Elephas maximus indicus: one gene and its partner. The protein of the gene in region 2 interacts with the protein of the main gene of each other region in a pairwise test. Links are inferred from orthologs where the notes say so. Each region holds a gene or a part of one and is shown on either strand. Other genes may lie near its edges.

Evidence for each region.
Region 1: the proteins of HOMEZ (region 2) and LRRC7 interact in a two-hybrid assay, tested with the Homo sapiens proteins (2 studies listed by BioGRID). The two-hybrid records come from large-scale screens. The link is inferred for Elephas maximus indicus from reciprocal best matches to the Homo sapiens genes HOMEZ and LRRC7.

Annotation. Positions count from the first base shown.
Region 1 is NC_064821.1:115,849,520-115,857,456, reverse strand, and holds the start of LRRC7 (leucine-rich repeat-containing protein 7), read right to left. Parts: upstream 3,003-7,937; 5' UTR 2,646-3,002; coding exon 2,644-2,645; intron 1-2,643.
Region 2 is NC_064828.1:34,618,178-34,625,934, reverse strand, and holds the start of HOMEZ (homeobox and leucine zipper protein Homez), read left to right. Parts: upstream 1-4,751; 5' UTR 4,752-4,923; coding exon 4,924-4,963; exon of another isoform or gene 4,964-5,061; intron 5,062-7,757. UniProt on the Homo sapiens protein: May function as a transcriptional regulator.

The DNA.
Region 1 (7,937 bases), on a different chromosome or scaffold from region 2:
ATTCTGAAACTGCATATGTGCAGGCACACGTGATGCAGAATGTAAGGGTTGCCATGGTAAGTACACGTCTTTTCTTGGACAGCCAAGTTAAAAAAAATACATAAAGAATGCTCATCTCATAATATGTCATGGAAATTGACTCTGCTTTCCCTGACATTTTAACATATTAGTATGATGTAATGCAGCAAAGGACAGAAATAGCCCACATTTAAAAACTTAAGCCCATTCAGATGACTTATAAAAGATGGAACAACAACAACAACAAAAAGACAGTAACAACAACAAAAAAATCTCCAAGCCAGGTAACTTTAATTACACATTGAGTCTGGATGCAAGTTCTACCTCCACTTAATTGTGAAATAACTAGACCTCATGACATTTCACAGGCCTAGCCAACTCTCCAGGAGTCCAAACACAGGCATCAGGACATGGCTAAACATCATTTTCAACATAGCTTTTAGTCTCAAGACTTCTATTTTTAAGGAAAAATAAAAATCGTTCTTACACCCCTAGTTTCTTATTCTCTCCCGAGTGAGATCAATGGTTTCCAACTGGTAGTGACTATGTTCTGCTCTGCTGTCTTTTGCAAAAACATCTCATGGTGGATCCTGTAGAGTCCGAGGAAGTCAGCTTAAGGACACCTGGATGGAGGCGTGACACTTGGACTGGGGAGGTGTCAGAATTCTGTCGCGAATCACAGCAGGTTCTGAGGCTCTGGAGAACCCACGTGTTCAGGGATTGCAGAACTTTTCTACCGCCTATCCCAAAGGAAACCCCTCATTTTAAGTAGGGGGGTGGCCGGGACTGGGCTTGGGTGGAGGCGGGAGAGATTGGTGGCTTTGAAAGAGAAATAGCAGATTTCAAGTCCTTTACAGGTGCTTTACCTTTACCTGTGCTTTTCTTCCCTCTATTCTCTCCTCCAGCCAACTTTATTATTTATTCCTCTTACAGGAGGAGGACTTGAGCAACCTGGAGGCTGAGGATCTCATAGGCTCAGCCTGGAACAAAGAAAATCGAGTTCCTAATACTGTATCTCTCGGGTTGGAGGGATCACGTGTCCTGCTTTCGCTGGAATGCACTCTTCTCGCCCACGCTATAAAATCTCTATTGTGCTTAGAAATTTTGCCCAGGTTAAAATATGCTCACAAACAAATTGCTTTTCATCCATCAAGAGAGCTACATCTCAGCGTACACAGGTACACATATTTACGTGCTGACCCAGTTACCACTGCAGGTAAATTGGTTGTGTTCAAAGGGTGCTGGGAAAGTAACGGAAAAGAGCAGGTGGAGGATCCCTGTATCTCACCGGTCCCTTCCCCCCCTTTCTGAATCCTTTTGAAGGAGAACTTTGAAATGAACGTGGGAGTCGCAGATGGTTCCTTTCTGAAACCCATTCCCTGGAGTTGTGAAAGTGACCCCTTCCCTTCTCCGCCTTGCGCTGCGCCCTCTCGCCAGCCTGCTCGCTTTGTGAATTGGTGGGGAGGAAAACAGCGAGGGAGGAGATAGGAGAGGGCGGAGGCGGGTCCTTTATTCGGCCCTGATGGCCAAGAAGTAGTGTAATGAAGCAATTTTGTAGACATTTCCGTTATTATGAAGTCACACTGTTTGAAAAGGCATTCTATACAGCTCCCACCCCCATCCTACTTCTTGACTCTACAAACATAAAGACTAGAAACCTCCGCTAGCCAATCTAATTGTCGATAAGCCAGGGTGCCATGATTACCGTAATGTTAAATGTGCCTCCCTCCTTCTTTCCACGTAGGACCGGAAAGACGTCCTGCATGCTTAACAACTCCGAGGTGAGGATGCACGATGCTGAAGGGGGCCCAGCGCTGCTACGGGGAATAGAGCAGGTTCACCAGCTTCGCGGTGCAACACAAAGGAGATGTGTAGGCATGAGTTCTCTGGAGAGGGGGAGGGAGGCATCGTTCTCCTGACTTCCAGAGAAAGCTTTCGCTCCACCGTTCCCCCACTTCTTTCCGTCCACCAGTCTTTCGGGCTCCACCGTCCCCCCTTTCCGAAACCCCACCCTTTCTCTTTGGTCCCCAATAACATAAAAATCTTCTAATTGTGTTTTTCAAACAAATAGACACGAAGGCAGTAATACAACATCTTCCAAGATAAAAAGACAAGTGCGACCAGCCACAAGTGTGTGTGTGTGTGTGTGTGTGTGTGTGTGTGTGTGTGTGTAGAGCGATCGAACAAGCGCTTGATCCCTGAGACACGGCCGGGGGTCGGGGGGGGGGGGGAAGCTACCTGGAGATATCCAAGATAATAAAGAGAAGCAAAGCCTAACCTCAGCTCGACAAACGGTCCAGCACCAGCGTTCAACACTCGTTCTTTACCTTTCGCTTTCTCAGCATGTAACCCTTTAAAGTCTCCTGGCAACCCAGGCCACTCGGTGCTCCCATGCACCCACCCGGCTAGCACCCATTCCAAATGCCCCGAAACCTACCACATCACCGCCACCGCTGCCGGCAACCGCACGAGCAGCTGAAGCGAGCGCGGGAGGCTTTCGCTCTCCCACCCCCGCCCCCGGCCGGCCGCTAGGGTCCCACACCTCACGCGCCCACGGTTGCCGCTGCTGGAGGTGGCAAGGCACCCGCAGCCCCCTCGGCCACCAAGCAAGAGTGTTCTACTCACATCGCAGGCGGGAGAAACTGCCCATGAGGTTCCCGCGAGCGTCACTGGTGCAGCTGTCAAGGGGTTATTCCTTAAAGTGTTCCGGGGTCCGCAGTGGAGAAGGTGCGAGGGTCCTCGGAGGAGGAAGAGAGCGGCGGAGGAGGAGCTGGAGGAAGAGGAGGAGAAAGGGGATTCCAGGCAGGAGCCACGTTAGACCATGATGACAGTGCCCTTCAGGTAGACGGCTGGAGAGCTTCCCGCGGGAAGCAGCCGAGGGGAAGCCCGATGCGCGGGTAGGGGAGGCAAGAGCGCGTCCACTCCCCAGCCTCCGCCAGCCCTGCGCGCCGCGCTGGCGACCGCAGCGGTAGCGGCGGCTGCGGCGGCCGCGGCGGCGGCGGTGGCGGAGGCGCAGCTCCCTCCCCACCCCCAGAAGGCTCCACAGACAATAAATCCTGGGCGGAGAAGAGACGAAATGGAAAAGGGAATCTTGCACCCAACTCCGTAACCCCCTTTGTCGGCTGCGGCACCTCTACCGGACAAGGATCCCCGGGGGCCGGGACGCAGCGGGCAGCTCAGAGGGTTCGTGCACTCTCGCCGCTGCAGGCGGCGGCGGTGGCCGGAGTGGGAGTCTGCAGGTACCGCCGGTCACAACCTGCTGTCCGGGGCTGGGTGCCCGTGGCTTTACGCCCGGAGTTCGCCCAGAGAGGGAGCCTCCTCGGTGCAGAGGCTAGGCGCACAGGTGCCGGGATTGGCAGGCGAGGAGGCGCCGCTTGTGGCTCTCCGCTGTGTCTCCCCGCCCCCTCTTCTTTCCCACCCCCTTTTCCGACGACACCAGCTGCAGCTGCTTCAAAGTGTAAAAAATGTCAAGGAGATTTTCCGACAACAAAAGGGGGGTCCACGGCCACAACCCTCAGGCCGTTTTTGCGATTTTGGCCTATCCCTCTGACCTCTACTCTTGCTCCCCTAAATTGTGACAAGAAAATCCCAATCCGGCCGAGAATTGAAATGCTCGCCTTCTCCTGGCTCCGACACAGGCTGTTTCTTGAGAGTGGAACGCCAGGCCGAGCTCTCTGGGCTCCTCGTGTCTCCCGCGGTGCGCGAGGCAGGTGGCACGAGGCACGGCGCCCGGCAGCGCTCGGCCGCCGGCTCCTCCAGCTCCCGGACGGGCCGGGGACGCTGGGACAGCGCAGAGTCCTGCAGCGCAGGCGACTCGCCGGCAGAAGCGGCTCCGGGCTTCTACGCCTCCCTGCGCGCCCCTCCACCGGCACCAGTTTGGTGACGCTGCGCTCGTGGCTCCTCAGGCTGCTGCTTCTGCTTTCTCAGCAAAGAGGCGGCCAGGAGCGCCTCCTCGGGGTTTCCTCCCCCGCCCGCCTTTCCTGCTGCAGGTTGTTGGCTACCAAGGAGAAAAGTCAGTGGTTGCAGGTCGGGTCGCTTCCCGTCAGACGTGGCAGCGACCCATATGCCTGCTCTAGGTCCCCTTCTCCTCATTCTGAGGCGGGGTTGCTACCCTGGCTTTGTGCAAGAAAAGAAGGGATTTCTCAACTTTCCTTCATCCACCGCCCCTCCTCCAGCCAGCAACACGCTCTGTCTCACACTCACACACACTCGTTTTTATCTCACATAAAGACACACAGAGACACTTCCTTCTCGTACACTTCTCTTTTAAACTCTCATAAGCAGCAGATTAAAAAAAAAAATACATTGATGAAGCTAGAATTATGAAATTAGTACAATATTTAGACGTTTCCTTTATTTTTTAAACACATCAGATGAATACTTATTTTTAAAATGTATTTATGATTTACGAATTATCCTGAAACCTTTTTTTTTTTTTTTTGGTGGGGGAATGGTATAGGCTATACGGTTTTTGTTTCTTCATTAAGGAAAGGAATTTTCCCTTTTAGTTCTCTAAATTGCCAAAAGAGTCAGACCGTGGCCTTCAATTGCCACTTCTCAGTGGATTTAAGGTAACGGTTTACTGAAACAAGAATTTTTTTTTAATTGCTATTGTTCTTAGATTTGAAATGCTAACAGCTTCAAGGTCAAAAATCATCTTTTCGGGCTGCTAGGGATGGTCTAGGCAAATCTGCTGCAAAAGACCTATTTAAAGACTTGGAAAACCAAGATGTCACTAAGGATGTCACTTTGAGGACTAAGGTGCGCCTGACCTAAGCCATCATATTTTCAATCACCTTCTATGCATACGAAAGCTGGACAATGAATAAAGAAGGCCAAAGAAGAAATGACCCATTTGAATTATGAATTTGGTGAAGAATATTGAATATACCATGGACTGTCAGAAGAACAAACAAATCTGTCTTGGAGGAAGCACAGCCAGAAAGCTCCTTGGAAGCAAGGATAGTGAAACTTCTCATGTCATCATGCTTGGTAAGGTGGAAGGTCAGCAAAAAACAAACAAAAAAGGCCCTCGCCAAGATGGACTGACACAGTGGCTGCAACAATGGGCTCAAACGTAGCAAATATTGTGAGGATGGTGTAGGACCAGACAGTGTTTGTTCTGTTGTACTTAGGGTTGCTGAATTGGAACTGACTTGATAGGACCTAACAACAACAGGGATGGTCTACGAAGAGACTTTGAGACTGGCACCTAATCTGCAGAGTACCAAGGAGGAAGGTTCTTTCTCACTTTATCTGGGCCATGAAGATGGGCTGTTTTTTCGAGATAACTCCCCAGTATTTCATACAATTTACATATAGACAGGGAAAGGAGTGAGAGGATGTTTTCATAAGTCACATCATTTTTAAAAAGTGTTATGAAACTCATCACAGAGAAAGGGTTCTGAAATGGCAGGGAGATTAGAAAAATTTTTTAAAAAATGTTAAAAGGACAAAATTTGTAATTGACCTCAGCTGACCTCTATTTTTCACTCTTAGGTTTTTTTTTTTTTAATTAATTGTGCGTTAGGTGAAACTTTACAGAGCAAATTAGCTTCTCATTAAACAGTTAATACACAAACTGTTATGTAAAATTGGTTGCTAGCCCCTTGATAATGTCAATACTCTCCCCTTCTCCACCCAGGGTTCCCTGTTTCCATTCCTCCAGTTTTCCTGCCCCTTCCTGCCTTCTCGTCTTTGCTTTTTGGCTGGTGTGTCCATTAGTCTCCTACACATGATTGTAATAGGAAACACATTCCTCATGTGTGTTATTGTTGGCCCTATAAACCTGTCTAATCTTTGGCTGAACAGTGAACCTCTAGAGTGACCAGTACTGAGTTAAAAGGGTGTCCAGGGACCTTACTCTCAGGTTCCTGCAGTCTCTATCAAACTAGCTAGCCTGGTCTTTGTGTGTGTGTGTGTGTGCGTGAATTGGAATGTTGTTTTACATTTTTTCCCGCTCTGGGACCCTCTGTAGTGATCTCTGCCAGAGCAGTAAGTGGTGGTAACTGGCCAGGCACCATCTGAGCTCAGTCTGGTGGAGTTGTCCATTAGTCCTTTGGACCAAACTTTCACTTGTGTCTTTGGTTTTCTTCATTCTCCTTTGCTCCAGCCAGGGTAGGAACAGTAGATGTATCTCAGAAGGCCACTCGCAAGCTTTGAAGATCCCAGAACCTACTCATCAAAGTAGGATGTAGAACATTTTCTTTATGGACTGTTATACCAATTGACCTAGATGTTCCCTAGGAACACGGTCCCCAGTCCTCAGGCCAGTAGCTCTGCCCCTCATAGCATTTAGATGTCTCTGTGAAAATTATAACTTTGCCCTGGTCAAATTGTGCTGGCTTCCCCAGTATTGTGTACTGTTTTATCCTTCATCAAAGTTACCACTTATCTACTATCTATTTAAGTGCTACGGCTGCGAACCAAAGGGTTGTCAGATCCACCAGGCGCTCCTTGGAAACCCTCTGGGGCAGTTCTACTCTGTCCTATAGGGTCGCTATGAGTCGGGATCGACTCAGCGGCACTGGCACTGGCTACTATCTAGTTAGTGTTTTTCCTTCCCCATTCTACCCTTCCCTTATAACCATCAAAGATTGTTTCTTTCTGTGTAGAAACATTTTCATATGTTTGTATAATAGTGGTCTTACAGTATTTTTCCTTTTGTGCTTGACTTATTTCACTCAGCATAACACCCTCATGTTTATCCATGTTGTGAGATGCTTCACAGATTCATCATTGTTCTTTATTGTTGCATAGTATTCCACGTGTGTATGTACCATAGTTTGTTCATCCATTCATCTGTTGATAGGCATTTAGGTTGTTTCCATCTTTTTGTTGTTGTGAATAATGTTGCAATGAACATGAATGTGCATATGTCTATTTTTGCGATGCCTCTTATTTCTCTAGAATGTACTCCTAGGAGTAAGATTGCTGGTTTGTTTGGTATTTCTATTTCTAGCTTTTAAGGGAGTGCCACATTGTTTTCCAAAAAGGTTGTACCATTTTGCATTCCCACCAGCAGTGCATAGGAGTTCCAATCTGCTCACTTTTCCAACATTTGTTATTTTTTGTATTTTTGATTCATGCCAGTAATGTCTGAGTGAGATGGTATCTCATTGTAGCTTTTAGCTGCATTTTTCTAATGCCTAGTGATCATAAGCATTTCCTCACGTGTCTGTTAGCCACCTGAGTATCTTCTTTGGTGAAGTGCCTTGTCATATCCTTTGCCCATTTTTATAGGTGTTGAATTTTCCTGTAGATTTTAGAGATTAGACCTTTGTCAGATATGTGATAACTAAAAATTTTTTCCCGGTCAGTGGATTCTGCTTTACTCTTTTGGAAGTCTTTCGATGAGTGTAATTGTTTTAATTTTTAGAAGATTCCAGTTATCTAGTGTCATGGATTGAATTATGTCCCCCCAAAAATGTGTGTATCAACTTGGTTATGCCATGATTCCCAGTATTGTGTGGTTGTCCTCCATTTTGTGATTGTAATTTTATGTTGACAGGATTGTAACACCACCCTAACTCAGGTCACTGCTCTGATCCAAGGTAAGGAAAGTTTCCCTGGGGTGCGGCCTGCATCACATTTTAGGTCTTAAGAGATAAAAGGAAAGGGAAGCAAGCAGAGAGTTGGGGACCTCATGCCACCAAGAAAGCAGCGCCAATAGCAGAGCTCGTCCTTTGGACCCAACGTCCCTGCGTGAAGAAGGAGCTCCTAGTCCGGGGGAACATTGATGAGAAGGCCAACAGAGGGAGAACTTTCCCCTGGAGCTGATGCCCTGAATTTGGACTTTTAGCCTACTTTACTGTGAAGAAATAAATTTCTCTTTGTTAAAACCATCTACTTGTATTTCTGATATAGCAGCACTAGATAGCTAAGACATTTGAATTAGTTTTTGTGTATGGTGTGAAGTA
Region 2 (7,757 bases):
ATAATTACAAATACAAAATCAAGCACAAAAGTGGATTTTTTCTTTTTTAGAATGAGAAAAGATAACACCAAATTATAATTTTTAAGAAGTTGACAATATCGCAATATCAAGAAAAATAACACATTTTTAAAATAACCTGCCTGGCAAAACCATAATACTTTTTTTTTTTTAACTGCATGCTTTTCAATAGGCTTTTCTCATGATGATAATATATAATGTTTTCTATAGAAAGTATAGGAAGGTAATTCAGTCTTTCCTCTTGCATGGCTGATCATTACTTTTTTTTTTTTTAATTGCTAAGTTAGAAAAATTTCACCTTCACATCTTGTTAGTGGTGAAGTTATATATTTTTAGAACTTTTGTCACATTTTGGAAAACCTCTGACAAGTTTCTTCCATATATGTGGTCATAGCATTTCAAATTTTCTTTGCAATGACTAATGTTATACAGGGACCCTAGTGGTGTAGTGGTTAACTGCTACAGCTGCTAACCAAAAAGATCAGCAGTTCAAATCCACCAAGCCACTCCTAGGAAACCCTATGGGGCAGTTCTACTCTGTCCTATAGGGTCACAATGAGTTGGAATTGACTCCACAGCAACAGGTTTTTTTTTTCTAATGTTATACAATAAAACCTGTGATAGCTGGAACCTGTGTAAGGTGGAAACCTGTCAGAGAAGGAAAACTCAAATATTTTCCACGAAATAGAGAGTAATAGAAAAATAGTAAGAATGCACTGTCAAAGGCAGAAAACTTGCAAGACCTGGAGATACAAAGCAGTCCTTCAGGTTCCGGCTCTCACAGGTTTCACTGTATGGTATTATACTCTTTGAATTGACGACATTAAGAGTATTCCTGGGAGCTATACCTACACAAAGACAATTTACTCACAGAAGTAATTGCAAACCACATAAATATACCTACTAAACCCAAACTAAATATATCCTCAATTCAAATTCCTTAGCCAATCCTAAAATGCCTGTGGCCCCTCTCCACTGCCACCTGACAAAAGAGGAAGTGTGATGGAAGGAAAGCCAGAAAGGAAAGAGACACCTATCTTAACCAATTGCAGCTAAAAAAAATTTTTTTTTCCAAATTTTACAAAAACCTATTACCATGTGAGCATATTGCTGGGTCCCCTCCAGTGCCTTGGAAAGAGGTCTGTGCAAGGGAGGGCCCTGAAACTCCAGCTTCTTAAGCTACAGGGAAATGTGCCTCTGGTCAGTCTTGCTAATATCTGAGCCAAGAAAGGGAGGTGAGTGGATAAATAATCAACTATATAATACCAAATAGCCACTTTTTCCTGACAGCAACTTTGAGGATATAACACATCCCCACTTTTCACTTCTCTGTTCAATTCTGACACCCTCCCCATGCAGCACTTCTTCCTCTGACCTTAAGCACCCTGAGTTAGGTCAGATCTCAAAAGTTAAAGCCCACAGACCTCCAGACTGCCAGGTGGGCCTAAGACCAGATGCCAGCAGCAAGTTTGGGATTCCACAAGACACCCGTAGTTCTATATGGAATGTAAGCATGCCCTTTGGGACATGGAAACTCTGTCTTGGGAACCCTCCCAGACTTTGCCCTTTGTAGGCTACAAATTCAGAGTTTTTCCACTACCATTTGAGGATGCCAGCTGCAAGCTTGGGGGTCTCACCCAGGCTCTCACTTCTAGTCTCCTGGCTACAAGTTCGGGGTTTTGCTACTATCCCTCCAGGACACCAGCCATAAGCTTAATTGTTCCCATAACCCTCCCCGCTTCACTTCTGACTTGCTGACCCCCACTACTCCCTTAGGTTTGATAATTCGCTGGAATGATTCACAGAACTCATGGAAACTGTTATGATTATAGCTTTATTATAGAAAAAATGGACACAAATGAAAAGACACAAAAGGCAAAGTCTAGGAGGGCTCCCAAAACAGAGCTTCCATGTCCCAAAGGGTGTGCTACAGTCCCCCATGCACTGATGTCTTTCACTAACCAGGAAGCCCATGGAACTTCCATGTCCATATTCTTTATTGGAGCCTCATTGTATACGCATTATTGATTGAATCATGACCCCTTCCCTGTCTGAGAGGTCACCTGCTACAAGGCCACCTGGTGGCCTTCGTGGCCTGGCCAGTCCCCCACTCATTTGCACAATAAACCAAAAACCAAACCCATTGCCATGGTGTCAGTTCTGACTCATAGACTGTCCCACAGGGTTTCCAAGGAGCGGCTGGTGGGTTTGAACTGCCGACCTTTAGGTTAGCTACCAAGCTTTTAAACACTGTGCCACCAAGGCCCCAGATAATAAAACTAAAAAACCCAAACCCATCAAGTGGATTCTGACTCATAGCAACCCTATAGAACAGAGTAGAACTGCCCCATAGGGTTTCCAGGGAGCAGCTGGTGGATTCAGACTGCGGATCTTTTGGTTACCAGCCGATCTCTTAACCACTATGCCACCAAAGCTCCCCAGATAATAAAGGCACCTCAGTTAGTCAGGAAACTCCAAGAGTTTAGCGATATCTCTCAAGAAACAAGGGCAAAGACCAAATTACTTTGAGTAAAGTTACACTCTTTACCCCACAGGGGGAGAGAGTTTTCACCAAAGATGGAGGATTAACATCTCTAATATTGAGGATAACAAGATGAGTCCCTATTCTTAGCACTACAGCAGTCCCTGGAAGAGCTGGGAGGGTAATTGTCTTGCTAATGATGGGACCTTCCCTTCTCTGATAATGTCAGCTTGGACCTCTTCCTCTTCTCTATTCTCCTACCCTAAATCACTCCATCTTCTAAAACTTCAGGGTGAAACACATGTAGAAGAGGGAGGCTTCAATTTGCACTCCAGAATTGGGGCAAGGGAGTTTGTTCTCCCTTCCTTGCATTCTCTCTACTAAATCTGTCTTCCATTCTGTTCCTGCCCCCACTCCTAACTCTCAGACAAAAAAGGGAGCTGAGTTATTCACCTTTCATAATTCCAAGCCCATAGTCAGTGATGCCCAGAGTGACTCACTTAACCCTCCAGGGTCAGGCGCTTCATTCCCACAGCCAGTTCCTGTCAGCTTTCCAGCCAAACAAGCATGACTTCTTCCCAGTCAATCCAGTTTTACTAATTGTTTGGATGAGAACAGAATGACCTCTCCACTGGAAACTGAGGGCTGCTGCTGCCTCAAATGTTTCATTTTTCCCTTCCTTCATTAAATAAAAACCATTGGAGGACTGTAATAGCCATGATTTAGAAGGTCTGTATACACCTGGCTCTTACCTTGAGGGATCAAAAGTTTCTAACCCTAAAGCTGAGTATACATGCTTCTGTTGTTTACCCCTAAGATGTTTTGCCAGATAATACTTGGAAGGACATCCAACTTGTATGTAAGACTGGATATTGTTATTAAGCGTAAGGAGGGAGAGGGAGAGGTGAGGCAAATACAAGGCCAGTAACAGAAAATAGGGTCAGCACTGAAAGAGAGACATGTTTATGATGTCAGGCAACCCTCAAAGAGCTCCAGCCTTAAAAGTGGACCAATGAAGAATGAGAAGTAGGAGTTACGTGGTTGTTTTTTTTCTTGGGTGGGGGTGGGGGTGGCTGGTGAGGCCTGCAGAATACAGCGTAAAGCGTGGAATTGTTTTCTAAACTATTGTAGCTACATAAGCTATTAAGTGACCTAAATAAGCAAGAAGAGACTATTTCAAAGACCAGCATAAGAACAGAGGCACATCGGAAATACATTGTTCCCAAATTTTAGTCAGAAGATAAACAATTCTAAATATACAAACTTTTGGTCCAGAACTTCCTAGCGTGTGGCATACTGCCTGGGGGAAAATCCATTTCGTTGTCAGCCCTTTCTTGACAATGAAAACCAAGGTCTCCAAATATGAGGCAGAGGTCCCGGTTTTTACAGAGGCAGGGAAGTGGGTCGGAGGGTCTGATAGGTCCCAACTGGTAACCCCTCAGGCACTTTGTCTCGGGGAACCTGTCTGGTACCAACTTGTCTGGGGGAAGCAGCAGGAGACACCGGGATCATAGGATCCTCAACTTTCTGAGCGGCGAAACATCAGATTCATCTCCAGAACAAGTTCCTTTTTGCTTTAGGTTGCTTTGCTGGAGCTGACTGCTGGTGACGACTGGGCCTCGGCTGGGGAAGTCACTGCACATACATAGGGCTAGGGACCAGACTATCAGCCCTGGAGTCTGCTCTGACTCAAGGCAACCCCATGTGTGTCAGAGAACTGTGCTCCTCAGGGTTTTCAAGAGCTTTTTATCAAGAAGTAGATTCCCAGGTCTTTATTCCCAGGCGACTCTGGGTAAATGTAAATCTTCGACCTTCCGGTTAGCTGCTCAGTGCGCTAACCGGTTGCACAACCCAGGGACTCTAGGGTTAGGGAATGGATGATAAAAGGGGCTTCCTAGAGTGCTTTTCTCAGGAGGAAACAGCCGGGGGTAGCTGTTGGCGACCTGGACACTTCGGCAAAGTGCTCGAGCCCCTCCCCAGGGAATTCCGGGAGGGACATTGGCCGGTGTACTTCCACGGTTCGGCACCGATAGGATGAGGGTGGCCCCGCGGGGCAGCTTCCCTGCCCACGTACCCAATAGCCCACGCCGCCGGTGGCTCACGGAGCCAATAGCTGACTTCAGTCAAGGCCCGTACAGCCAATAGCCGACCCAGTACGTTCCGCCGGTGACCGCCGGCCTGCGTCCACCAATCAGAACTCGGGCCACCCTGGCACCGCCCCTAGGCGCGCGCCCCACCCATCCGCCCCGCCTCCAACTCGCTCGAGCAGGGCTGGGCTAGACGGGCGCGCTCTCGGGGGCGGGGGGGGGTCAGTCCCGGTCCGGGCCCTCCGCACGGGTGGGCTCGGAGGAGGCCGCGCGGGGCAGCAACCTTACTCTCATTCCGGAGGCCCCCTGCCCCCTCTTCCCCTTTCCCCCCGGCCCATGGTGCGAGGCTGGGAGCCGCCGCCGGGGCCGGACTGCGGTGAGTGATCCCCAGCTCCTTCGACTTCCCCTCCCAGACCCTCTACGATCCCCGACCTCCGGAGCCCCATCCCCGCGCTGGAAGGAGGAGAATTCTAGGTTCGAAGCCGCCGGCGCTCCCTCCTTTCTCTTGTGGACTTTGCGGCTCCCTGTTGTATCTGGGGTAGGGTGAGTGGGTGTGTAAGGAGGGGGAGGCTGGGTTGGTACGCCCTTGAAGAGGGGAAGATTGAGATTCGCCTGCTCTTCGGGGCTCATCGCCCCAAGTGTAGCAACTTTTTGTTCTCTGACCCAGTTCAGAGCCTCCTAGACTGCTTGTGAAATGGAGGACAGGAGAAACGTTTCCTTCCCAGGCCTACCCCCCCCCCCATGGCTACTTCCTGGCGACCTCAACACACGTACCTGGCCTTCTGGGGAGCAGTGACCTTTGGGAATGAAGGGTTAACAAGAAACTGCCCCTTCTCACCCTAACCAGCCATACTCAGAAAACCAGCCAGGAAAGTGAGAACTCGAGTCCTCAGAGGTTCCTGGTGTTGCGTCCTCATCTGAGACTTCTAAACTGAAAGAAGACTCAAGATGAGACCTACTTGGTAATGTGGGCCCAAATCAGATCTTTTATCCTGTGAACCTACTTCTCGCCATACACTGGAAGCCCTTTTATGTTATATGATGAGGATTGGTAGATGGCAGTAATCAAAACAGAGTTGGGAATTTAAAAAAACGACGCCTATATATCTTAAACATAATTAAAAGTACATTCATTTCACCAATATTTTGGTATAGTGCCAAGATGGTTTCTTTGTGTAAGTCTAAGTCGGCTGATTGGTGTTCCCAGTTGTCTTTCTAGTATAAACTACAAGAGTGATTCTGAAACCCTGAGAACTTTTAAAATCTACCAATGCCAGGACCCCAGTCCAAACTAACACAAAAAGGGAAAACGGGGCCTGGCTTTTTTTTTTTTTCCTTCAGTTTCCCAGGTAATTCTAATTTGCAGTCTTACAGATGAAAGCCTCTATGTACTATACCCATAATATATCATCTGTGATTCCAGTTTTGGTTTTAAGATTCCCCCTTCCCAATCTTTTACAATTGTCTTGCTCACTCCCAATTCAACAATTATAAAAATGTATTCCCCGTTGTGTCATGTCTAAGTCAGCATTTGACTTAGTTTTCACAGGAACGGTTTTTAATGCAGTAATTTTTTTCACAGGTTTATGTGGTATTTAATTACATTATAGAAATACAGGAAAAGCTTCTGGCATAAGCAGGTGTGGAATCACAACTAGCCTAAGCACACAGGGCAGCTTGAGGAAGCAGGCTGAAGCAGATTTTGTTGCAGTATAGTCTACTAGCCTCTAGTATTCAGTGCACCATGGGTATCACTCATGTAATCCAGTGGGTCACCAGGCTTCTGACCCTGTTGAATACCCCTGCCTTCCACTCTCTCCAACTAATACCACTAATCCCTTCTAGGCTTATTCAAATTCTCGAGTCCTCCATCCACTTTTTCCATTCATTCACATCAACATGTTTGTTCATCTTTAAGTGATTACCATTATTGCCTTAAAATTGGAAGCCATAAAGCAGAGGTTTTTAACTTGGGCTCCTGGCAGACAATGACCAACCCCCTGAGATTATTTATAATGTATAAGTGTGAATGTTTATTGTGAAAGGGTAGTCATAACTTTCTAAGAGTCCATAACTTTTCTCTCTCAGAGGGATTCATGATCCAAAAGTTAAGAACCATATAAATTGAATACCACTAGTTCTTTCAGATACTTAAAACTGTATCACCCAAACACATTTCAGGCAGCATGTCAATTCTTCTGGAATAAATGTTTGGGGAGCTTAGAAGGATCATGTCTATTGCCCCACTTTGACCGTCTCCTACTTTAACCATAAGCCTAGGCTTGAGCCTAAAGTTCTAAAGTCCTTTTTTTCCTCAGACTGTGTGAAGAATGCCTAGACTGCAAGCTTAAGGTAGCCCCTTTTCTGCCATACACCCAGGGGTGTGGAAGGCCTGAGGGGAATTCCTTCTGGGTGTTATACTGATTCCATATTTCTTATTAGTGACTTTAAGTAATAGTAGAACATATTTGGCATAGTATCCTTTGTTAAAGATTATATCCTTATTAAGGATACAGATTTAGTAATTACTCAGAATGGACCGCCCCCCCGCCCCAATCACCTCTGCCCTAGAAGTCCTTCTTCAGCTTTGAGTCTTTTCTTTTTCTACCTAATCCAGAATGGAGGCATGAGAACATAAGACACTGTGGTATGTTCGTTGTGGTTTTGATTACTGTAGGGTACCTGCCCCACTTGTGACAGTTCTCATGAGCCACTCTGATTGTAGTTTCCTCCTATTTCAAAGCCAGATTCTTCTAGGGAGGTACCAGCTATATAGCTGCCCCTTGATTTAAGCCATCCTTCTGTTTCAGGAAATCTTCCACAACTTGTGCTTTCTGTAAGTGAAAACTGCGGCTGTATACCATACACTAAATATATTATTTGCATTACTGCATGCTACACTGAAATATCAAGCTGACGCCATGAGAATCTAAAGGGTATCAAATAAATAACATGAATGAAAGCAAAATGCCTCCTTGTAGGCTTGTAGCTGTGCCTGCCTTGTGTTCCTGTCTGGCAGTTTTCATCGTCACACTGGACAGCTTCATTCCTTACACTACCTTTCCTCATATCTAACGTGTTATTGTGTCCTTATGGAACAGTTTATATGAGGGTAAGTAGATGTCAAGTGTTGCAATTATGAAGTACTCTTCAGCCTGGATTTGGCGGTG